Alligator mississippiensis: one gene and its partners. The protein of the gene in region 3 purifies or fractionates together with the protein of the main gene of each other region. This does not show direct contact. Links are inferred from orthologs where the notes say so. Each region holds a gene or a part of one and is shown on either strand. Other genes may lie near its edges.

What was found. The genes of interacting proteins can lie anywhere in the genome.
Region 1: the proteins of OGT (region 3) and DIDO1 purify together in Homo sapiens (affinity purification with mass spectrometry; 3 studies listed by BioGRID and IntAct, with this or other methods). This does not show direct contact. The link is inferred for Alligator mississippiensis from reciprocal best matches to the Homo sapiens genes OGT and DIDO1.
Region 2: the proteins of OGT (region 3) and SETD1A purify together in Homo sapiens (affinity purification with mass spectrometry; 4 studies listed by BioGRID and IntAct, with this or other methods). This does not show direct contact. The link is inferred for Alligator mississippiensis from reciprocal best matches to the Homo sapiens genes OGT and SETD1A.

Annotation. Positions count from the first base shown.
Region 1 is NC_081832.1:4,709,286-4,716,934, forward strand, and holds the start of DIDO1 (death-inducer obliterator 1), read left to right. Parts: upstream 1-4,529; 5' UTR 4,530-4,612; intron 4,613-7,649. UniProt on the Homo sapiens protein: Putative transcription factor, weakly pro-apoptotic when overexpressed. Tumor suppressor. Required for early embryonic stem cell development.
Region 2 is NC_081830.1:483,203-491,477, forward strand, and holds the start of SETD1A (histone-lysine N-methyltransferase SETD1A), read right to left. Parts: upstream 3,121-8,275; 5' UTR 2,789-3,120; intron 2,694-2,788; exon of another isoform or gene 2,563-2,693; intron 1,735-2,562; 5' UTR 1,661-1,734; intron 1,152-1,660; 5' UTR 1,137-1,151; coding exon 999-1,136; intron 725-998; coding exon 626-724; intron 445-625; coding exon 174-444; intron 1-173. Other genes in the region: zinc finger protein 850, read left to right, coding at 6,802-8,275. UniProt on the Homo sapiens protein: Histone methyltransferase that catalyzes methyl group transfer from S-adenosyl-L-methionine to the epsilon-amino group of 'Lys-4' of histone H3 (H3K4) via a non-processive mechanism.
Region 3 is NC_081831.1:83,415,753-83,424,059, forward strand, and holds the start of OGT (UDP-N-acetylglucosamine--peptide N-acetylglucosaminyltransferase 110 kDa subunit), read left to right. Parts: upstream 1-5,179; 5' UTR 5,180-5,251; coding exon 5,252-5,288; intron 5,289-8,307. Other genes in the region: TAF1 (transcription initiation factor TFIID subunit 1), read left to right, coding at 878-976, 1,266-1,419, 1,933-2,110, 3,727-3,955. UniProt on the Homo sapiens protein: Catalyzes the transfer of a single N-acetylglucosamine from UDP-GlcNAc to a serine or threonine residue in cytoplasmic and nuclear proteins resulting in their modification with a beta-linked N-acetylglucosamine (O-GlcNAc).

The sequences.
Region 1 (7,649 bases), on a different chromosome or scaffold from region 3:
TAAATCCTACAAAAAAAAAATGAAGCTGTGAAGTAGAGGTGCCTGGAAACCAAGGAGGGGCAATGGCAAACGTTTCCTGTCTCATTCCTCTTTCATCTCCACATGCTAAACACCTGTTACACTTTAGGATGAGTGCCCAGTGCCCACACCCATGATATTTTCACCACCCTATCTGTCAAAAGTCTGTTGTACATCTGGGGAAAAAGCCTTAAAATGCTAACCTGTAACTGTGGGGTTAGATGGGACTGCATGGAAACAAGCCCAGTGCTTGTGTTCTGGAGGCTACTTCAAATTGACTATGTACTTCCCACCTGGAAAGCAAGAAATTGGACCTAATGATATTATCCATGTCTCTCCATTTACTTGCATCCTTCAGAAACCTGAGATCTGTAAGGCGAGTCATTAGTCTTTTATTAATTCAAACAGCTGGGACCTTGAAGGGACTTGAGTAATGTAATCCATTTCAAAGTGCTGGAAGAACGCAGTGCGGTATGAAAAATTTTAGCCTTTTTGTGAATTTGGTCCAGCAAAAGGAAATGTCTAACTTTTTTTTACTAAGCCTCCCTGCGCATTAGTGGCACTGGGTATTAAAAGAGGCACATGGGGTCAAATAGAGCCAAAAGAAATAACATCCCTGAAAAAATCTATTAAAATCCTTGTTAAACACCACATGTAGTGAGTAGATTTGCTAAAATTCCTTGTTGATTTTTCCACCCCCCAAAAAAAACAAAGCTGTTTTGCTTACATGAAAAGCATTACAATGAGCATAAAATATTTTGTGTGTGTGTGACTCTAGTGCTTGTGAAACGTGGTGATTCAAGTCTAGGTCTTGGATAATCCAATGCTGGAAAAACTTGCAGAGTCTCATATTCATGAGAGGTGTTGGACTGATTATCTGCAGAGAAAAAGAACTTTGCCCACAGAACAGGTAAAGAACGAATATAATATGTGCTATCCCAGTGTCCCCACGATCTATTTAGCAAAGTACAGAGAGGAACCATCTATCAGACACCCCTCAGAGATGAGCTTGTTCCTTCTCCATTACTGTTGTCCCCAGCCTCTGCCTGACTTCCCAACAGCCAAATGCCTTTCCAGAGCCTGCTGTAATGCTCCCCTGCCAGGAGAGACAGGGAGGTGTTGAGCCTAACTCCCTGTTTCAGGGCTCCAGAATTATAGGAACACCAAAAATATGGGGCTATTTTGGTGGGGGAAAAAATGGACTTGCATGATCACATTACCATTTCTTCCTTTCAGTGCACCTGCTGCCCAGAGCTGAAAGTGCCGTTCATAGGAGTAAGCAGAGTGAAAGGTCCACGCCTGTTGTTGGTAACTGTGCTATAACAGTAGGTAAAAGTCAAAGCCTCATTGCTCTAGACTCTGTACAAATGCAAGGGTCTGGAGAACAAAAGCAGGTGGGGACTTCCTTCATGTCAGCTGCTCTGTTGGATTTGGATGCATTTTGGATCCATTGGATTTGCAACCATTTGGATGCAGCTCTTGCCCTTCAGTAAGCAAAAGCTAAATTGTGGTCGCTCGGCCCCATTTCATTGAGGTAAGCTGTCCCAACCATGCTATTAGTCCAAGAAAACGCATCACCCCAAAAATCTGCCTCTTACTCCAGTTTAGCTTTTGCTCACTGGGGAGTGAGAGCAGGGACTCGAACAGATATTGCAGAGCAGCTGATGTGCAGTAAGTACCAGCCCCCTTTTTAACTTGCTCTGAGTTGTTACTTAGGTTGTGTCCATTTGAGTACGCACCATTGCCAAGAGTCTGTATTTTAGAAGATGAATGCTCTAGACAGAGACAAGACAAGGCAAGGAGCTGATAAACTGTCACAGCCCATCAGGGTACGTGTCTACTGCCTCCAGTGATTCCATACCTGTTGCCAAGAAGCAAGCCTTGCCTACTTATTCCAACTGCTCAAGAGTCACTTGCCAGAACACTTTGTATAGTTGCTTTTTGGCATGTGCTCAGGACCTCAGGCTGTGGCATGCTCCTGAGAGTACCTGGCTCTCTTATGACAGTATGGGATTAGGAGTGAGCGGACAAGTCTTGCTTCTCTGTCAGTGAAGGCTAGATCGAGGTACCCTTGGTTGCCTAATAATCAGCGAACTCCTTTTGTAGGCATCAGGTTGGTTGCAAACATAACTGGCTTGAATATAAATAAAGCATCTGCTAAATTCAGTGGGTGTGACAAATGAACAGCAATACATTGAAGGGGCACTAGTAGGTGAATAATGTAATTGAAATGCAATTACTAGAAGGGCATAAGGTTTTCGGTATGGCATGAATTGTTTTGTAGTAGTCTTCTATGGGATGCCCATCTTTAATTTCTTGCTATGCAAGCTACCTATCCATAAAATGCTGAATTGGTATAGTTCATGCTTCATTCCAGGGTTTATATTGTAGCTAAATTTGGTTTAATAAAGCTTTTTAGTGTTTTTTTTTTTTTCTTCTCCCAAATAAGACTTGGTTTACTAAAGCTGTTTCTAGCTATACTCAGAATTTAAATGCTGCTCTCTGCTTCTAATGTCTTGTATTTTTGTACAGGGATCTTCAAGACCTTAAAAATCATTCATGAATTAAACCTAACAACACCCTGGAGACAGGTAAGTATTACCATGTTGTTTTCCAGGTGGAGAAACAGGATGATTTACCATAGTTAACATCATGCAAGGAAGTTATTGGTCGACAGGAAAAGTTGGAGCTCCTGCTTTTCTAACATTCAGTCCTGGGTTTTTACCACCACAGCAAGTTCCTTTTGAGCATTGCTTAAAGTGGGCATTTTTACAATGTCAGTGCAGAGCATGCGTTTCATATTCCTAAAGAGTTCTGATCTGTTTTCAGCCCTTAAAATCTGTTAAGTTCTGCATGTGCATGGAACCCACTGAAATCACTGGGGTGCTCTGCGTCGGCCCACTCCCATGAAGTAGCTTGCAAAAATAAGACCTTGCTGGATTTATCGGACGTTGTGTATTGACGTGTGGCCGGGACTTGCATTGCCTGATGGCTATTCATACTCTGGTGGCTTCTGACTGGCTGCAAAACATCAGTGGTTGGAATTGCTAATACCGCCAACATTGCCCCTAAGAATAAAGAACGCTGGCAATCGGAACCAACTCCCCGCTAGAAAAGCCTCGTCTGTTAATGGCAGAGTTCATTTATTTATTATTCGAGCTGTATTTTTAGGTTATTTTTAACTGTGCATTTGGGTGATAAGTTAGCCCTGGGTCCAATTAGCCTTGAACTGGGATGCCTCTGCAAAGAAGAACTAGTGCTGGACCCAGGGAGAGCTGCAGCGGGGATTGCTCCATCCTTGGAAGTGCAGGGGCAGGTACATCAGGCTGGAAACCAGGTAACAAGAAAAGAAACAAGGTTGTTAGTTGTAGCCGTGTTGGTCTAAGGACATAAGTAGACCAGGGTCTTTGGGTTAATGTGAGATCTTTTATTAGACCAACTAAATAGCTGGTAAAATTGTTCTTTGCAAGCTTTCAGGCTCAAACACCCTTCTTCGGGCAAATAAATGAAAAGAAATAAGGGATGGATTTGGTAGCTGTGTTGGTCTGAGACTAAAAGAAATGCAAAACTCTAAAAATCTTGGTTTAGAGATGATACCTTTTTATGAGACCAACTGAGCAACTGCAAAAATAAATAAATAAATAAATAAGTAAAATTCCAAGTAAATAAAGTATATAAATAACTTATTTATATGTATTCAAGTTAACGTGAATTTAAATATTTAAATTCATATTAAATATAATTATATATAATTCTCTATAACCATAAATAAATTATATGAATTATTTACATTTAAGTTAATATGAATTTAAATACAATGATCTATAAATATAAATAAATTATATAAATATAAATAAATTACCTATATAAGTTGCATTTAAATTAAATAGATTTAAATATATAAATTCAATTTAAATTGTATATAACCAGCTGAGAAACTGCAAAAAAATATATTAAATATCAAATTTTATATGAATTATATTATATTTAATTTATATTATATAAACTAATATATATTAATTGTGTGGGGGGTTGGTTTTTTGGGTGTTTTTTTTTTTGCAGTTTCTCAGTTGGTCTAACAAAAGGTATCATCTCTGAACCAAGAGTTGCGTTTCTGAAAAGAAATAAAAGCATCAAGTCAAGAGCCACCCATCACGCCATGCGGCTGGCTGCCAGCTGCTGCTTCCCTGCCCTGCTACCGTAATGCCTTACCGTAATCGAAGTGTAGAAGCGCCCTAGAAGGAGCTGGCGGGAAGCGAAGATTGCGGCCTGCTCCCGCCTCCTCCTTGGAGCTGCCCAATGGGGGAGCGCGCTCTCGCGCCCCCTGGCGGCCGGCCCCGCACTCCCGCGCCCAGCGCTGCGGCGGGTGGCAGGAGGCAGCCTGCAGCCCCGCTCCCGCGAGTCCTCCACGAGCAGCGTGCCACGGAGAGAGCGGCGCGGCGGGCGGTGGACGCTCTAGCCCGCCGCGGCCGCCATGTCAGTCTCGCTGGTAGCGGCCCCCGCCCTGCGCTGAGGAGGAAATGGCGGCTGGGCTCGGCTGAGACCTGCGGCGGCGGCTGGATTCGCCCCCGTCCCCCCCACGCCCTCCGCACGGGTGAGTGCGGGAGGCAGCGGGGGAGGGAGGAGGGGGAGAGCCGCGGGGGGGGGCGCTCGGAGGCGACGCGGGCGAGGCGGCGACTGCGGCCTAGGCCTGGAGGATCGGCGAGAAAATGGAGGCGGGCGGGCGAGTCGGGGTAGGCCGCGCGGCCTGGGGACGGGGACGGGCCCCTCCAGGACGGAGTCACAATCCCGCTGACGTCATGGCGCTCCGTGACGTCACGCCCCGTCTCCCCCTCTTTTTGTCCCGCGCAACGGCCGCCAACGGGCTGGGTACGGGGGGGGGGGGCTCAGCGGCATGCGGCCTCGGGCACGGCTGGGTGGTGTTTACAGTGGGGGACGGGGAGGGGGGAGATGTAGGCTTCCCCCTCCCCAGGGGCCGCTCATTTTTGGGGTCTCCTAGGCAGACCAGGGTCTCTGGGTAAATGCAATTTTTTTTTGTTATTTATCAATTCAGTGGTGGGGGTGGGGGGGATTAATCCCCGGGAAGTGTTTGGGCACTATGCCCTTCTTCAGTTGCAGGGAGAGCCCGCGAGTCCTCCTGGGGGGGGGGTTGTAACCGCATCGGGCTAAGGACATAGGTAAGGACAGGGTCCTTTGGAGTAAATCCGATATCTTTGTATAGACCAGCTCCAATCGCTGGACAAAATAAAAAAAAAAAAATCTTTGCGAGCTTTCGGGTGTAAAGACACCTCGGTGGTCTGAATGTAAACGAGCAATTCGGAGCGCTTCGGATCAGCGGAGCGACGCTGAGAGCTGTAACTATTAACGCTTTCTCGGACAAGCCCGAAACAGCCAAATCCATCAGGATCCGGGGACTCGCAAAGGAGAGACGGAGTTTGCAACGAAAAGGTGCAAACACGTCCCTGAGGTATTTTATTACCTGAAAGCTTGCTGAGAATTTTTCCGACTCAAATAGTTGGGGAAATTCTTCTTTGCGAGCTTCCGGGTATAAATAAATCCCTGGGGTATTTATACCTGGAAGCTCGCAAAGAAGAATTTTCCCAACTGTTTGAGTAACTCCTCCTATGCCTCCCGTCAGATTGAACTGGCATCGCTTGAAGATGAAAAGCGTCCTGTAGCATTCAAAGGACGTTTTATTTACTTATTTTTTTGCAAGCTGAGAGTCGTTTCTGTAACGCCGGGGATAGCGCGCTCTTTCCTTGGGGGTTCTGCCTGCGTTCTCTTGGCTTTGAAGTATTTCTTTGTGGGAGGTGGGAGGAGAGCTGCCCTCCTTTTGGCATCACCTTTTTCACTGCAAGATTTTTTGTCTCCATGATTCCCCAGATCCTGATGGATTTAGTTGTCTTTTGCTTTTCCAAGAAAACCTTAATAGTTATAGCTTTTACCGCTTAAATCAACAATGGTTCTGTTGATCTGAATTGCTTGTTTGCATTTGACCACCAAATTGTGTCATTTATTTATTTTTAAAAGGACGTTGTCCTTTATTGCCTGTTTTAGGAACAGGTCATGTAAGCAGTCACTTGAACTAGTTTGCGCTACGCAACATCTCCAATTATGTTTTTTAGTTTCTTGACTTCCTTGCAAATTAATTAGCTGTATAAACAGTTGAACTGTTGAGGAAAAATATAAAGCTGAAAAAATGCATGTAGTTATAAATGGAGGGTTGTATGCCAACTGTAGTAGCTGTTATAGGTCATGTTAAAAAATTTGATCATGTAAAAGAGTAGTAAGAGACTGACCATTGGATCTTCCTGTAAGATCTTGTTTAACAAATTTGCTGGTATGCTCAAAACACCTTTTTGGGCTTAGTCTTTTAGGTGGTTTTTGTTTTGTTTTTGTTTTTTGAGAGTTTAGAAATGCACTGCATTGAAAAGGGCTTTCCTTCATTTTTGCTCCAAACTGAAAGTTTTTGTTAACCTTCAAATAACCTAATTATTTGTCAAAAGCCATGTAATGGACTTGGAAGAGAGCAGGATTAGAGCTTTGAATCCTTTTTTCAGAAAAGTGTTTAAGGTTTTGAAGTATAGAGGGACACAGAAGAAGCAAAGTATTCTGCCTTGGCAAACAGATTTACTTTGGTTTGTCATGAAGTTTAAATTTCAGAATGTAGACCCTGATCTGCCAGTTTTTAAGATGTAGTTAATATGTAAATAATATGATGATTATTTCACACTTTTTAAATCTTCAAATAATACAGATGGGGGTGAGACAATGTCTTGTCTCGTGAGTTCCTTTTGCTTTAAACAAAAGTAATGCAAGTGAAGCAGTTTGAGTCCAAAGCGTTACATAAGGACTTAGAGCTTGCAGGTCTTAATTTTAATAAAAAGCTAAAGGAAGTTATGGGAGAACTTTCCAGAGGAATGACTGTTTACTCTTCCTATCGTACGCTCTTTATATTCTCCCTCTTTTTTTTTTTTTCAGTTAAGTATTACAAGCTTTCACCACAATTTCTGAAACTTTTTTTCTCTTTTTGGCTGGGGGCAGGGACAGGCAGAGGCTTTCTTTCTTTAATTCTAGCTAGGCTTGACTGACCTCCTTCCTCTTCTCCCCCAGTAAAATTTCCAACTAATACATGCAGTGGTGGCAAAGGTAGTGTTAGGTTACTGGTGGCTTTCTTCACTAACACTTCCACTGTTTTACCACTAGTAGAACAGTAAGGAGGAATTTAAAGGGAAGGGATCTAATGTAGGTGAGGCTTGTCTGACTTCCAGTATAACGCTATCTGGGTAGCTGTTTGTGTGTCTTTTGGAGTCCCTGACCTCAATTAGTAATGGTTGAAATCTAGTATCAGATACTATGTCAGGTTACATGTAATATCTGTTCAGCAGTAAATATAAACTCAGTGGGCACGTCTACACATTTATTAATGCACTTTTAATAATGCACATTAATTTAGTACATCATATTAATGTGCATTAAGCTGTGCTGATGATCAGTAGCACAAGCACATGCTTTTTTAGTGATGCTTAATGCACAGTAGCTTATTCACTGAATTTTCCTCATTTGCTATAGATTTAATTATGATTATTATTATTACTGTTATTAATGCCATTTATCAGTAGTAATATTAT
Region 2 (8,275 bases), on a different chromosome or scaffold from region 3:
TGGATAGGGCACCAGGGTCCCCACACCCTGAGACTGGGTATTGGTAGGGCACTCGAGTCTCCATGCTCCCAAGACTGGGCACAGCGGTCCTGGAGCAGGACAGAGGTAGGATACCGGGGTCCCCACACGTTTTAGCTGGGGCAGGGGGGCCGTGGTACCAGGCGGGCAGGTACCTTTGATGTCGAGCTGGGCATGGATGAGGTTGCCCATGACAGAGGTGTTGTGCAGGTTCTTGACGGTGTCCTTGGCACCGCGCGTGCTAGCAAAGAGCACCTTGGCCAGGCCCAGGTGTTTGCGGGTCTTGGGGTGGTAGAGGATCTCGATCTCCTCCACCTCACCGTACTTGCGGCACATCTCAGCCAGGAAGGGCTCCTTGATGTTGTCGTTGAGGCGGGCGAAGGTCACCTCTTTCAGTGGGATCTGCCCCACGTAGAACTCGTCCAGCTGCAGGCATGGAGCGGCGTTACGCTCGGCCGACTTTGCCTCCCCAGAGCCGGCTGCACCCCGGAGAGCCCACCCAGGGATGCCGACAGCAGAGGTTACACTCCCTTGCTCTACCCTGCATTGAGGAGGGCTGGGAGGTAGGCACTGATTGGCAGGGGGGATGGGGTGGACAACGACTCACCTTGAACTTGGGCACGGGCAGTGAGAGGTCACGGTGCTTAGCCCAGATGCGGCGGTGCCGGGGGTCCCGCACCTCATCCACGGGGGCATACCGCGCATCCTGAGGGAGACAACAGTTAGCGATGGGGTTCGGGACTCCCTTGGCCTCAAGTGGGGAGGAGAGGAAGGATCCGGAGCTCAGATGCCTGGGTTCTGGCTCCCACCCCCCACCAGCCCAGAGAACCCAGGCGTCCAGGCTCCCAGCTCCCCCTGCTCTCACCCCCCTCCCAGAACTCCCCACTCCCCCAGATCTGATAAAATTGGGGGGGGGTACAACCCCAGAGACCCCTCCTTGAACGGGAGCATTAATTGCCCCCCCAGCAAGGCAGACTCACGGGGGCGCTGAAGTGGACGCCATCATAACGGTAGATCTTCTGGGGGGCACGGCGCAGCGCGGGGTCCACCAGCAGCTTGTAGCTGCGCCATGGGACATTGGGGGCTCTCGGGAAGTCACCCCCGCCCTCCTGGTCCATTCTGACTCATTTACCCTGCAGGGGGCAGAGGAGGGAGATTATGCCCATGTTGGGATAAATGCCATGCAGGGGTAGGGGATAAATGCCCCATGGGCAAGGGGGTAAATGCCCCCTGCTGGAGGGGCTGGGCGAGGATCGCACGCATGCACCCACAGAACTCAGGTGTCCAGGGCACTTGCAAATGCATGCACACACATATGCGTGCACAAAACCCAGGCGTGCAGGCAACTTGCAAGTGTATGCACACATACATATGCAGAACCCAGGCATGCAGGGCGCTTGCACGCACATGTACAGAGCCCAGGTGTGCAGCCCACTTGCACACACGTATGTGCAGGACCCAGGCGTCCGAGACACTTGCATGCACGGAGAACCCAGGCGTCCCTGCTCTCCCCCCCCTCCCCCCCAGTGCACATGCGCGTGCAGGACCCAGGCGTCCGGGACACACGCAGCCCTAACCCCCTGGGGCAGGACCCTGCCCGGCATGCAGAACCCAGGTGCCCGGCGGGCGCCCGCGCACGCACCTGCTGGAGTGCTGTGGGGCGTGGGGAGGCGGCGGGCGCTCGCTCAATCCATGCCGTGCCCGGTGCCCCGGGGCCTGTGCGGGAGAGGAGGGTGAGGGCCTGGGCAGCAATAGGGGGGAACCTGGAGACCTGGGGGAGAGGGGGGGGTGCACCCAGGGATCCTTGCCCCCAGGGACCCCCTTGTCTCCCCAGACCCCCCTCCCGCGCCCACCAGACCCCTTTCCGTCTCGGAAGCCCCTCCCCGCCCCGCCCATGCCAGGACCCCTTGTCCGTACAGCCCCTTTCACGGCCCCCCTGGCACCTGCCCTGCCCCACACAGCCCCCGTTTCTGCTCAGGAACCCCCCAGCCCCCAGGACACCCCTTTTCTTTTCAGAAACCACCTCCTCATCCTACCTACCCCTGGGACTCCCCTCAGCAACCCCCTCAGACCCCAAAGCCCCCCCTTTTCCCCCAGCAGCCCCCTGCCCCCCAAATTTCTCCTCTGAAGCCCCCCCCACCTCCTACCAGCCCCCTCTCCCCCTTAGCACCCCCCTTCCCTCATCATCTCGCTCACCCCTGGGCCCCCCTTTCCCCCTCATCACCCTGCTTTCCACCTCAGATCCCCCCACTACCCCCTCAGCAACTCCAGACAACCCCAGATCCCCTCCATGTCTCCCCCAACCCCCCCCCCGACCCCTACTACGGCCCCCTACCCCCCTTCTTCCCTCAGAAACCCCCTCCCCACCCCCGCCCCAACACCCCTCATCCCCCTGGCCCCTCCCCCCAGGACCCCCCCTCTGCCGCGGCCCCGCCCCTTCCCCCGCTCAGCCCCGCCCCCCCCGCGCGGCCGTTAACGGCCACCCTGGCCCCGCCCCCTCCCGCCAACGGCCGTTCGAACGCCGGCTCCCCGCCCCCCACTCACCTCACTCCCCGCGCGCGGCTGCCCCCCTCCCTTCCGCGCAGGCGCACGAGGGGGGCAGGAGGGGGGAGGGGGGCGGGGCGGGAGGGGGGCGCTGCCAGCCCCGCTGTCCGCCGCGGCCGCCGGAGACGGGGGGAGGGGGGAGGAGAGGAGCGGGTGGGCGGGGCCCCGCGCCGGACGTCTCGCGCGCGCCCGGCGAGCTCTCGCGACATCTCCCCCCCACACTTACAAGTACACACGGTCCTTCCCGATGTGCGGCACTTTCGACACGGCGTTAAAAAGTATAATAAAAGAAATAAAATAGAAATAAATCCGCATTCGAGCTCGAACAACAAGCTTTTTTTCCTTGTTTATTTATTTATGTATTTATTTAACCCCCGCCTCTCCCCGGGTGGCCTCAGGGCGAGGCGAATCGGTGCCAGCGAATCAGCAGGGGAAGGAGGGGGTCCGCCTCCACGCTTTCGTCGTCCGCCCCTTCCGGCTATTTCGTCACGCTTCGACTCTCCAGTTAATAGCTAATTATTCATTTTAATTACCCGATGCTAATTTAGACCCTATTTCGCCCCGCTTCTTATTGAGCAGGGACGAATCTGCAGCGGCCAACCCGCAGCTAGCGCCCGGCCCCGAAGCGGGATGGTGAGTGACAAGGATGGCGAGGGTTGGGTATTCGTCTCCGCACTTTCGTTACCCGCCCTCCCGCTTATTCTGCACCCTGCTCCGCCCCTAATAAATCGTTAATTATTTATTCTAATTAAGTAACCCTATTTCCCACCGATTTCGGCCCCCGCCACGAGGGAGAGCGAATCTGCAGCGGCTAACCCGGAGCTAGCGCCCGACTCCAGATGGGCGGGGGTGCTTGGAGGGAGGGAGTGAAACGGGGGTGGAACTGAGGGCACTGTTGGTCGGTCGCACTTTCGCCACGTCCTCGCCTCGCTCTCTATTTACATATATGCAAATAAGCTATGACGTCCAACCAAAATGAAGTCGAGATAGGCCCAGCCAGGCCCAAGCCGGGTTTTTAAAGCGTTGGAAACGGGGAGGGACGAATCGGCGGAGGGTGAAACCGCAGCTTGGGGAAGCCATTACGTTGTCCGGCTTCGGTACTTTCGCCACACGTGTATCTAAATGAACGCTCATTTGCATAAATCTGAATACGACGCGGAGCGATGCAAATCAACCCTTTAATGACTCAGGAAATGGATTGGGTGGGAACAAAGGCGGGGTCAGCTCGTGGGACGAATCAGCGACGAGCGAAACCTCAGGCTGGGACAAAGGAACAGGTTAATTATTCGCACCTCGCACTTTCGCCATGACCCTGAGGAAAGGAAATGACGAATGAACCCCCACCCATTTGAGTGTCCCTCCCCCCCCCCCCGCGCCCCATTTTTATAAGGAGGAAAATAATTAAGAGCGAATCAGCTGCCCGGGGAATCTCAGCTAGGCCCCAAAAAGGTACTCTTTCTATTCACTCGCTGCACTTTCGCCAGCAGAGAATTAAATAGTTAACCAATGACTAGGTCATTAATGAACCCCTCCAGAAACAAGTCAATTTTGAGGCCAAAGAGGAAGGGGATTGCTTTCGGAAGAGTTAACTCTTGGCCCTTGAATCTGCTACTGCTAATTCAAAGCTGCCGGAAGGGGGATAAAGCCACACTTCCCTCACAGAGTGAAATACAATTGTCCCTTTACGGTTGGAAGAACGAGAAATGTCTCCAGACCTCAATTAGGCCTCTATTTGCATATTTGATTATGTGGGGACAGTGTGTCGAATGTGCTGATGCCAAAACTGCAGTCTCTGACCCCCTCGATGACCCTGAATTATTCAGGGGGAGTCACATAAATCCTAATAAGAAAGGACGGTCTCTTAATGAGCAAGAGCTATTCAAAAGACCAGAACCAGAGCGAACTTGTGACCGCGAGACGGTCAAGATGTATGCAAATGTATTCAAATACATGCTAATAGCAAGCAAACGAGGCTTTTCGGGGTTAATACTACCGTATTTTCTAGGATACAACACACCCCTGGAATGCAGGACACGCCTTGAAAGAATGTGAATCCTGAGTCTGTCTGCCTAACAGCCTATAATGAGCAGAAAGAGCTCTTACCATATTTCCCCTCTGTAATGCGCACCAAAATTGCCTGCAGCTGCTTTCCTGCGGGGGTGGGGAGGGATTGCATAGTGCCTGCGGGAGACGCGGCAGGCGAATATTGTGACTCCCAAAGCCATTAGAAGTGGCCTGTCATTATTCCAATGGATGATTGCTTGTACCACAGACGAGGTGATAATGAGCAATGGAACTTCGTTAGGCCTTGAAAGCCACCAAGTGGTAGTCAATGGCCACTCGTTATTCAAATGTATGGAAGTTATTGCTGACAGCACGGGCAGGGAGATGAGGAGGCCCGGAGCGTTTGCGACGCGCTGAGAGCACTGAAAATTGAGCCCCAACTTCGATAACGAACGCCTTCCAACCCTGCCGCGCAGAGCGTCGGTATTGAGACCGGTGCACTTAAAACGATCGGAAGAAAACAGAACAAGTGAGAATAAAAGCAGAGGTCATATTTTAACCCAATGATCCCCCCGGCCTTTATTGGCATCACTGCTGGCAATTTTCAGATATTAATGTCATTCAGGATCCTGACTTTCTGGTGATCTTCCTGCCGCCGGCTCGTAGCGGGCAGAATAGAATAATAATAATTCAGCAACTAATTAATATTAGTGGTGTTTCATTTTACTCATAGAAAAATGTGGATTTGGGGCTGCTTTTTCTGAACTGAAAATAGGGGATTTTCCTTTTTTCATCTGGGATGAAAGGATCCCTGCTAACCACTTTATGGAGCAATAAGAATTCAAAAGTTTGTCAGGATCTGGTCAAGGATAATCAGAGGCCCCGAGTCTGCAAGAGCGATGAAAAACCCGTCGTTAGAAGAGCATTGCACCGTACGGGGCGAAGAGTGATTTTTCAGTCTGACACTTCCGAATGGCATAACAATAAGTGCCGGGCAATGACTTATAGTTGCATTGAAATATAGGTAATACAAATAATGCCAGTATTACTGAGGATGTGGTTTGTGGTAGCAGCAACAAAATGCTACCGTGACGGTAGGACACGTCGGTGATGTTATCGGCCTCGGCGTCGTCAAGTAACATGACTTGACGCGTGGGACGGCCGCCACCAGCGCCACGCTCGCTCGTATTATCTGCGCGTGATAATAACGACCGTGCTGTCGTTGCGACAACCACGGCTCTTGTAGCAGCCGGCAGAATAACCAGGGCCCATGTTGCTGTCCTCGCTGCCTTGCTCCGTGGTCGCTGCTAGCACTAGGGCTGTCATTTGCAGCCACAGAGCAAGAGCAAGGGCAAGACGCGTCACGCTATCGGTGATGTGAGTAACCCCGCCCCAGCAAAGGCCCCGCCCCCGCCCCCGCCCGCAGCAGTACTAGCAGTAACGCGCGCTGCGCTCCCGCCCCGCCCCGCCCCGCCCCGCCCCGCCTTGTACGCTATTTGGATCGATGACGAAGCTGCTGCTGCTGTTAGTGATGATGATGATGCAGGCAATAACGTGGGCAGCGCGGATGACGTCACTAAGGGTGATGACGGCCAGGATGCGCACGCTCACGTGAACACCAACGCTGCCAATGGCGGAGACCACGTCCCTGTTTCTGTAGTAAACCACGGACGAGCCCGGCGGTTTGCGCGTGGCCGTGTCCTGCACACGTGGGTGCTGCGTGCACGTGTCCCCCCCCCCACACACACACACACACCCCTGCGCGCGCGCGTGCCCCGCCCCCTCCACGCCGGGCCGCTCTGCCGGAGGAAGTAGGGGCGGGGCCTCGCCTGACCCCGCCCCCTCCTGCTCTGCGCCTGCGCAGCCCCCCGCCACTCGCCTGCCTGCTCGGGCTCTTGCACACTCGGTGAGCGCCGGGGGGGGGGTGGCACACGGTGGGGGGGAGGGGGTTGGGGGCAAACGGGACAAGCCAGGGGTTTACACACACACACACACACAGGGAACCCAGGCACCCAAACACATGTGCAAACACACACACGCACCCAGGTGTCCAGGACACACACACACACACACACACACACGGAACCCAGGCACCCAGACACATGTACAAACACACACACACACGCAGGTGTCCAGGACAGGTGTGCGAGTACACACACCTACGGGGCCCCAGGCATCCACCCCCCACTAATCCCCTGCCTTTTCCTCCCCCCGCCCCCCCCACAGGGCAGCGCCATGAGCCAGCTCAGCCCCTCCCCCCCCGGGGCCCCGCCCAGCCCCGCCCCCGACATCTCCTGCGACATCCAGTGCTGGTCGGACGAGGACTGGAGCCCGCCCCGTGCAACGCACGAGCAGGGTGCAAGAGGCAGTGGCGAGGATGCAGAAACAGGGCCCTCGCACAACGATGCCAGTGGGTGGGGCTTGCACCACAGCAACGACAACCCTTCGTCACCCCCGGCCTTGCACGTGGGTCACGGAGAGCTGGGGTGTGACGCTGCCTCACACGAGGGCCACAACAGTCAGCTCGCTTTCCACACCTCCTCGCACGAAGGCAGACAGTGCCCCGGCTTGCACAGCGAGTGCTGCCCGCTCGCTTTCCGCACCCCCTCGCACGAGGGCATCCCCCAGCTGGCTGTCCATGCTGCCTCGTACAAGGAAAATAACCAACCAAGTCCCGGCAGTGCCTCGCCCGAGGACGATGACCTACCTCCCCACCACACCTCGCACAAGGACAGCGACGAGCTGGTTTTCCCCGGCGCCTTGCACAAGGGCCGAACTAAGCTGGATTTCTACGATGCTTCGCACGAGGACCTGCCACTGGAGTACTACACTACCTTGCAGGAGGACCGCAGTAGCAAGCTGGCTTTTCACAATGCTTCACAGGAGGGCCACAACCAGCTGGATATCGACCCTGCCTCGCACAAGGGAGATGCATTGGAGTTCCCTGCTGCCTCGCACGAGGACAAGCTGCATTTCCCCACCTTGCACGAGGGCCTAGCACCGGATTTTCCCGCCGCCGCCGCCTTGCATGAGGGCCCAGCCCGCTTCCCACCGCCGCCCCCCTCCCGCCCGCACCAGTGTGGAGAGTGCGGGAAAGCCTTTGCGGCGGCCTCCACGCTGGCACAGCATGCCCGCACGCACACGGGCGAGAGGCCCTACGTGTGTGGGGCCTGCGGGCGCCGCTTCGCCCGGGGCTCCACCTTCCTGCAGCACCAGCGTGTGCACACGGGCGAGCGGCCATACCCGTGCGCCGACTGTGGCAAGCGCTTCTCCCGTGCCTCCAACCTGGCGCAGCACCGGCGCGTGCACACAGGTGAGCGGCCCTACGCCTGCGCCGACTGCGGGCGCCGCTTTGGCCTCAGCTCCACCCTCCTGCAGCACCAGGTCACGCACACAGGCGAGCGCCCGTACCCGTGTGCAGACTGCGGCAAGGCCTTCAACCGCCGCTCCAACCTGGCCAACCATCGGCGCGTGCACACTGGCGAGCGCCCCTTTGCCTGCGCCGACTGTGGCAAGCGCTTTGCCGAGAGCTCCACCCGGGCGCAGCACCGGCGCACGCACACAGGTGAGCGGCCCTACCCGTGTGGCGCCTGTGGCAAGCGTTTTGGCCTCAGCTCCACCCTGCTCCAGCACCAAGCCACACACGCCGGCGACCGGCCCTACCCGTGCGAGGATTGTGGGCGCCGCTTCCGCCTTGGCTCCGCCCTCC
Region 3 (8,307 bases):
CCTGGTCAGTCCTGCTGCAGAGCCCTGAAAGTCGGTGCCCTTTAGTTTTGAATAGGGCAAAGGAAGAGTAATTTCCATGGGGTGGAAGATGATAATTATTTTATTGTGTTGAAATGCACAAGAGGACACATTTGTTGCCACACTCTTATATTTAAAAGACGACAATGGGGGAAGCAGTGGGGATTAAGGATCACAATGCATTTCCAAATTAGCTATGGTGACGCTGGGAGCAAGTTTTGCTAGGTTTTTTGTTTTTGTTGGTTCCCTCCCCCCCAATTAGAGGCTAAAGATGGAGCGAGGGAGGATGAAGAGGAGGATAAATTTAATGGAAAAACCTGGGTATGAAGGGGGAAGAGGGCATTGAGGAGAAAGAAAGAGAGGGCAAATGACAAGAGCAGAAAGAGTGAGAATAGCAACAGAGCAACTGATGGAACAGGCAAGGAAGAAAGTTCAGTGCAGAATGTAGTATCGCTCGTATCTGGGGTTCTAAAATGCCTCCTAGTAAGCAGTATCTGCACCTCTGGGGACAGAATCTGTGCATGTTTTCCCATGCATGTGGCTGTGGCTGTAAGCTGCTGAACCAGCCTACTGACTTTGAGGAAACGAGGCCCAACCACAAGTTCTCCTAGGACAAATTGCCCATCCTGTAATAGCTAGGAAGTAGAGAGGAATGCCTGCCTCGCTTTCTTGTGACCTCCTTAGAGAAGAGTGTAGCAGAAGCATCCAGGAAACAGATTTGGTTAGGTCTTGAAGTTCTTAGGAAAAAGAGTCCCTGTTCCCAGGGTATACTTCTATTGTGGTCTGGATGTCAGTCAGACTCTTTCTTCTGACACTAGTGCCTCCCTCAATGGTGTTGCTATTTGTGTTCCTCATTCAGATGCGCCAGGGACGAGGTAGGCTGGGCGAGGAAGACTCTGACGTAGATATTGAAGGGTTTGATGAGGATGATGATGGGAAACCTAAGACTCCAGCCCCAGTGAGTATATTTACAGAAATCCCATCTGTAGTCCACTTTGTTGATCTGCATCCTCATAGTAGAAGACTCCATAGTGCAGGGCAAGTCTGCTGGGTCTGGCACCTGAGTGACAACAGAATTCACAGCAGTGATTAATGAGATTTATCTGTGGTCATGAAACAGTCAGCATAAAAACAAATGACTGAATGTATTGTTCATTAATTGTGTCAATTAGTAAGCATGTACCGGCTCTGGCAGTAGCTTATGTGATTTTTTTTGACCTGTGCCATTCCTGTTGTGTGTGACACAGGAAGTTGAAGATGCAGATGGTGACCTTGCTGATGAAGAAGAAGGCTCAGCCCAGCAGCCTCAGGCCAGTGTTCTGTATGAAGATCTGCTCATGTCAGATGGAGAAGATGATGATGATGATGGGAGTGACGAAGAAGGCGATAATCCTTTCTCATGTATGTTAGGGTCTTGACGTCAAAGGTCTGAGCAGGAAATGGCTGTTCCCATCCCAGCCAACCTCCCATGTCCTTTGATCACTGTAGCATATATTCTGGCCTGGGATAGTAGATATTCAGGGTACTGAGGTGACAGAGACCAGATGTTTACAGCCCAGTTACCTACTAGATAACGACAGCAAGCAGCAAGTTGCATGAATTTTGGGTGTAAGCCAAGATGAAGTGGAGTAGAAGTGAAATGTGTGGACTCAGGAAACAGAAGCTTAGGCAGGATCTGACGTTTCTGATTGATAGGGGAGCTCTGAAGGATGGAAGGGAAAAGACTGAGGCTCAGGTCGGTTACTGGGGTCACGTGGAGCTGGACTGGGCCAATGGTGTAATGAAAACACAAGTGATTTAGATGGGAAACAGGACTTTTTCTTGCTGTTGAAGCTTTTGGCTGTTAAAACGGGACTGAGAATTAGGTCATTAAAAAGAGGTCAAAAGTAATCGGCAAGTCTCTTTGTTGCACAGCTATCCAGCTAAGTGAGAGTGGCAGCGATTCGGACGTGGAGTCCAATGCAGTGAGGCCCAAGCAGCCTCACGTCCTTCAAGAGAACACACGTATGGGCATGGACAATGAAGAAAGTATGATGTCCTATGAGGGAGATACTGGGGAGACATCTCATGTGATGGAGGACAGTAATATCAGGTAATCAAAGCTGAGCTGTAAAAAAAAACCCAAACAAACCACTATCTGCTGGAGAACTAATTTATTCCAATCATAAAATCATAGAACTAAATTGTTCCTCTGTTACTTTTTTTTAAGGTAGTGGTTCTCAACTTTTTTTGGACTAGGGCCCATTTGTAAACATCAATGGCCAGTCTGGACCCAGTGCCCCTCACTCCCAACCCTGCCCCCCCAGTGTGTGGGGTGCATGGAGGGCCCCAAGCAGTCCCTTGCAGGCTGGAACTCTGCCAGCCTGCAAAGGAAAAGCCATGGTTTCCCATGTTTTTTCTCCTTTAAAGGAGAATCCATTTTTCAAGTTGGTTCATTCATTTTTAAAGTTTGTTCATGACCCTTTCATATGTTCTTGCGACCCACAGGTTGAGAAACACCGTTCTAAGGCACTTACCTTATGCCCCTACTAGGAGAGCACTGTAGAGAAGACCAGATCATGGTGGGGTTTAACTCTTTAATAAAAGAATAACCACTTTGTTACTCTTTTATTAAATTAAAATTATTCTTAAAATTTTATTAATGTTCTCGTTGCTGTGAACTTGGTTCTGCTGTAGGTACCTCACCAAATTTAAAAAAACCCAAACCCCACTAATTACATAGAAAAGAAAAAACGTGGTAACGCAAGGTCAAATGATTCGTAGCTTTAACATTCTACTTTTGTGTACCGCCTGGCCTCTGCCAGACGCGCAGGTAAAGGTGCAGTAGGATCCAGTGCACAATCCACACAATTGCACTTCCTGCTATGCCACACATGCCATCACACCTTATTGCTGGTGCAGAGGGAGCCCAGGATCATGATCCCAGGCTTTCCCTGCCCCAGCAAGTAGCAAGTGTAACGTGTGGCGAGGGCCTCTGTTAAAGAGCAAAAAACTCACTCATGTGGACAGTCTTCGACAATATTAAATGCTATTATTGTGGAAAGAGTTGATTTTTAGGAGATGAATTTTAGGTCCTCAGATTCTGTTTAACTTAATGCTTTTTCCCTTTAAAGGACAAACAGGTAAAGGCAATACGAATGTCAAAAGAGAGGAAGTGTACACAGTGCATCTTTTGATAGCAGTTCATTTGCCTGAAAATCGGATGCATGGTGTATAGAAGATTGCCCCTTGTAGACCCCATGTTCTTTGTCTTGGCTTGGCTTTCTTCTAGCCCAGCAGTCAGCAAACTTTTTAGGCTTCAGGCTGCAATGACCCAGCTTGGGTCGGAGGTGGGTGGGTGCTAGAAGCAGTAGCAGCGGTTGGATCTGCTACCAAATACCACCAAAGCCCCACATCCATGGGCCAGATCAAGTGGTTTCACGGGCTGGGCCCAGCCCATGGGCCATAGGTTGCTGCTTCTTCCTCTAGCTGTTCTGTGGAGTTGTGAGGCTGGGTGCTGTTCTTCTCATCATGCTGTTCAGGGAGCAGGAAGGGAGGGATTCCTAGAGAGCAAAAGTTCTTACACTGGGAATTTTTTTACTAGTAGAGAAAATGAGACCTGTTCTTGTATGGGCCTTTTTGCCTTTGCCATTGGGGTCCAGGGAAGAGTGTCAGTGTAAATGAACAGTCAGAAACATTAATGTAGTAAGATTTCATTTTTTCTTTCAGTTATGGCAGCTATGAGGAACCAGATCCCAAGTCCAACACACGAGATACCAGTTTTAGCAGCATTGGAGGGTATGAAGTCTCGGAGGAAGAGGAGGAGGAGGAAGAGGAGGAGGAAGAACAGCGTTGTGGGCCCAGTGTGCTAAGCCAGGTTCATCTGTCTGAGGATGAGGAGGACAGTGAGGAATTTCATTCCATTGCAGGAGACAGTGACCTGGACTCGGATGAATAAGCTTCCCAGACATCCTCTGTTGCTACGGCATGTGTGCACTCGTGGTTCACAGGGGTCCTGTGTGCCCTTTCAGACTCACGGACAATGCAGTCTGGGATGCGCGTTTGAAGCACCTGTTTTTTCTTGGATAGAACTTCTATTTTAATGAGAAGTCTGTTAACTACGTGAAATAATGTACAATAGTAATCTAAACTGTGAATGCCAAGCTTTGGGAAAAGTCCCCTCCTGACATCGCTGAACAGCTGTGCTGGTCATCAGTTACAGGAGTCAGCTCGAGAATCCCATGTTCTGGCTTGTGCCTCCTCGTTCTTTCCAGAGACAAAACATCCTTACAGATATTAGTGAGTGAGCTGGAAATTTAGTTTTTGGTGCGGTTTGTTTAATCGGCCTTTACACACTGTCAAAAAATAAATGTCTGAAAGTATCCTGTAAAAGAAATGTGAGTAAACTTTTGTTAAAAAAGATACATGCATGGCCCGTGTATCTTTGCAGAACTGTGGGCAGACTCCGGGAGCTGTGCTTTTCTCCAGTGTTGTATGTCAGATCAGGTCTCTTCTGAACTTCCTTGCTCGAGGGGTTGCTGTGCCTGGAGTTGCTTAACTGCCAACCTCCCTCTTCCTCCGTGGAGCGGAGAAACCCCCCGCAGGGGGCACCACGTGACGGGACAAGGAGTAATGTGGCAGAAGGGAAAAACGTTCTTGCCCGGCGGGGGGCGAAGCAGTGGGCCAGGTCAGACGGGGGCCGGGTCTCCATCCCTGAGGCGTTTGGGACCCGACCCAGAGGACGCGGCTGGGGCTGGTTCTGCTCTGTCCAGGTGCGGGCCCAGCGGCGCTGGGGGCCCGAGCAGAGCCGCCCGGCCCAGGAGCTCGTGCCGCCCCACTCGTGAGCGGGGCCGAGAGAAGGGTAAGGGGTGCTCCCAGCAGGCCCCGCGCGGCAGTGACGCACCCGGATGTGGCCGCGGGCGCCATGTGCGGAAGGGCGGCGCATGCGCGCTGGGGCCGGGATGTCGCAATGGGCAGGCGGAAGGACACCATAACAAAGTGCTGCCGCCCCTGAGGCCTCGCGCTGCCCGCTCGGCCCTGCCCGTGGGATACCGGCGTGGCAAAGGCGTCCAGGCTTGTCCGGCGGGAATTGGGCCGCTGCTGCGCGGGACGCTGCGTGCAGCCGGTGCTGTGTCCTGCTGGACTACTTTGTGTGCCGAGCTAGATCCGGCCGAGCTGCGCGGACTCGTCCCTCCGCGGCCGCCATTTCGCACCGCGCGGAGCGCTGCAGCCGGAGCCGCCGGACCCCCTCGCCATGGCGACCTCCGTGGGCAGCGTGGCCGACAGCACAGGTACGGCCGAGCGCCGCGCCTTGCCGGGCCGGGCCGGGCCGGGCCGAGCCGAGCGTCCGCCCCGCCCCGCCCCGCGCTTCCCGGGGCCCGGCCGGAGCTCGCGGAACTTTCCAGAAGGCGCCGAGGGGTCGCGGCCTGGCCCCGCGCCGCCGCCTCGGGCCCGGGGCCCGCGCCCTCCGCCTCCCCCGCGGTCCCCGTGTACTCGGCCCGGCGGCGGGGTCGTGCTGGCCCCGGGACCGCCCCAGGCCGCGGCGCTTGCTTTGGCCGGCGAGGGCGGGCCGGGGCCGGGGCCGGGCGAGCCTTGCCGCCTCGTGTGCCACGGCTCGGGGCAGCGCCGCGCGCTTGGCTCCCCTCCCCACCTCACGAGCGCTGTTCCAGCAGCGGCGCTGCCCCGGGCGAGGCGGCCGCCCGCAGAGGATCGGCGCGCAGGGGCGGGCCGGGCGCTGGCCGGGCGTGGAGGTCTTCGTTCTCTGGATCTGGCCTCATTGTGCCTTCTTATTTTTGCAAGGGACTCAACAAAGTCAGTCCTGAGGGAACGTTTCATCTGTTCTTTACTAAAAAAACCCCCTTTCCTTCACAGATAAAAATAGAGCATCTTTACTTTCTTTCCATATATCTGTTACTGTCTTCCTATTCCATTTTTCATCTTAACATTGCACTTGACTTTTCAGGTTAAGTATTATAAGGCGATGCTTATTTCTTACCCGAATAGCGTGTATGGCCAGTCATCTGGCAGGTTGATACGCTGTTAGCTTATATCGAGAGAGATACTGAACGAGGAAGATGGCTTATTTTGCATCGGCTTCATTTTCTTTGTGGTTTTGCATCTTCAGCAGTGGGGGACTGCTTAATAAGAGAACTTTAAATAACATACTGGATACCAGCCGTCTAAAGGATGACATCTGGGCCAGCGGTAGCCAGGAGAGAGAAGACTGAGGAACGTTATTATGACAGTGATTTAGCGAGCCGTCATTCCCCTCTCAGCTTGAGGTCCTAAGAATGGTGATCCTTCTCGGGAAATCTGGCCTTCATCAGGGCCTGCAGCGAGTAGATCTGATAGGAAATGGTGTTACACTTGCCCTTAGTTTTTGGTTTTTTCTGGTATAGTTTCAGGCCCATCCTCTTCTCAATGTTTTCCCAAGCTGTGCAGACTTCACCGTACCTGTAGTTTGGCAAAGCATGAACAGTAGGAGATGTGCTGGAGTTGTCCTCAATTTAGTCTCGGAAAAATAAAGAGTTCAGTTTATCTCCATGTATGAACTAGAAAGCTCATTTTAATACAGGTAAACAAAGACCATCAGTTTGAAATAGTTGATTATAAATGAATAAATGGCTTCAGATACTACTATGCCTGATGCCCTTTGCAATGCCCGGCCTCCACACACTGTCCACTTCAAAGTGTGTCCTATTTGTATGTGAAGAGCTGCACACATGCAGGGGAAATGAACTTTCTGGAATTTCTGTAGTACATAAATGCTTTGCTGGAATACCCCGTGTTGAGGTCTCTTATATTGTAGAGGATTTTCCAGCGTTATATTCATGCCTTGAAACAACAGCCAAGTTAGGATAGGAATGTTTATTGGGGTAACTGAAACAGAAATGCCAAAAGTAAACAGCAGAAATAAAAATGTTGTCTAAACTTTTGTTTCCTATAATCTTAAAGCAAAAGTCCAGAGGTAAGGGAAGAGGCTGGGGACCTGGATGAAAACGTAGTAAGGGGAAGCAATTACAGAAGCTGTAGCAATGTTGGGGGGGGTGGAGATAGGATAGACGGGTACCAGAAATATTCATATGCCAATGTGAGAAGTATGGGAGCAAACAGGAAGTGTTTGAGGTCCTAGTACAAACACAGAATTAAGATGTAATTGGGATTATGGAGATGTGGTGGGATAGTTCACAAGACTGGAATACTGTCATGGTTGAGTATCAGTTGTTCAGGAAGGACCGGTGAGGGAAGAAAGGAGGTGTTGCTGTATACGTAGAGAAGACGTGCATGTCTCTGGAAATGCGGCCCAAACTGGAAGGGAGGTTGCCAGTCTTTGGATGAAGGTCACAATACAGCTGCAGGGTGAGATGTCATGGTGGGTGTTGGTTACAGGCCTCCAAAACCAGGAGGTTCCAAATTGCAGGACTTGTTTCTCATGGGCACTCTAAATTGTTGGTATCTCTGCTGGGAGGGAAGCACAGCAGTGCATTAGCAGTCCATCAAATTGCTGCAGTTTTGGGGATAACTTTTTGATACAGGTAGTAAAGGGGCCAGCTAGGGGAAGCTGTTCTTGACTTGCTGCTCACAAACAGAGGAATTGGTTGAGAATGTGAAGGTGGAAGGTAACTTTGGTGACAGCATCCATGAAATGATGGATTTAAAGGATCCTAAGTGGAGGAAGGAAGGAGAGCAGCAGAACAAGGACACTGGAGTTTAACAGGAACTGGTGAACAGGATCCCCTGGGAAGCAAGTCTAAGGAGAAAAGAAGTCGAGAGCTGGCTGTACTTCAAGGAGGCCCTTAAGGGCCTGAGAGCAAGCGATCCCAATGCGATGGAAGAATGGGATGTGAAACAGGAAACCAGCCTGACTAGACTACACTCTCTTCTCTGAGTTTAACTCGAAAAGGAATCCTGTAAGAAGTGCAAACTTGGTTGTAGTACTAGGAAAGCGTATAACAGTACTACTTATACCAACTGCATCCCAAATTGTGCCTCGCAGGCTTGCGGGGAGAAAATTAGGAAGGCTGAGGCACAATTTGGGATGCAAGCTGGCAAGGGATATAAAAGGCAGTAAAAAGTGTGTCCAAAGTAAGAGGAAGACTGGAGAAATCATAGGTCCCTTACAGAAAGCAGAAGGCAGTCTAGCTGTGGAGGATGTAGAGAAGGCTGAAGTATTTAATGCCTTTTTTACTTCAGTCTTTACAGATAGGGGCAGCTATCAAATGATGAGTACCGTTGGCAACAGGTAAGGAAGGAGGTAAACAGCCTAAAGCAGGGGTGGGCAAATCTGGCCTGCGGTGGACTCCATTTCCC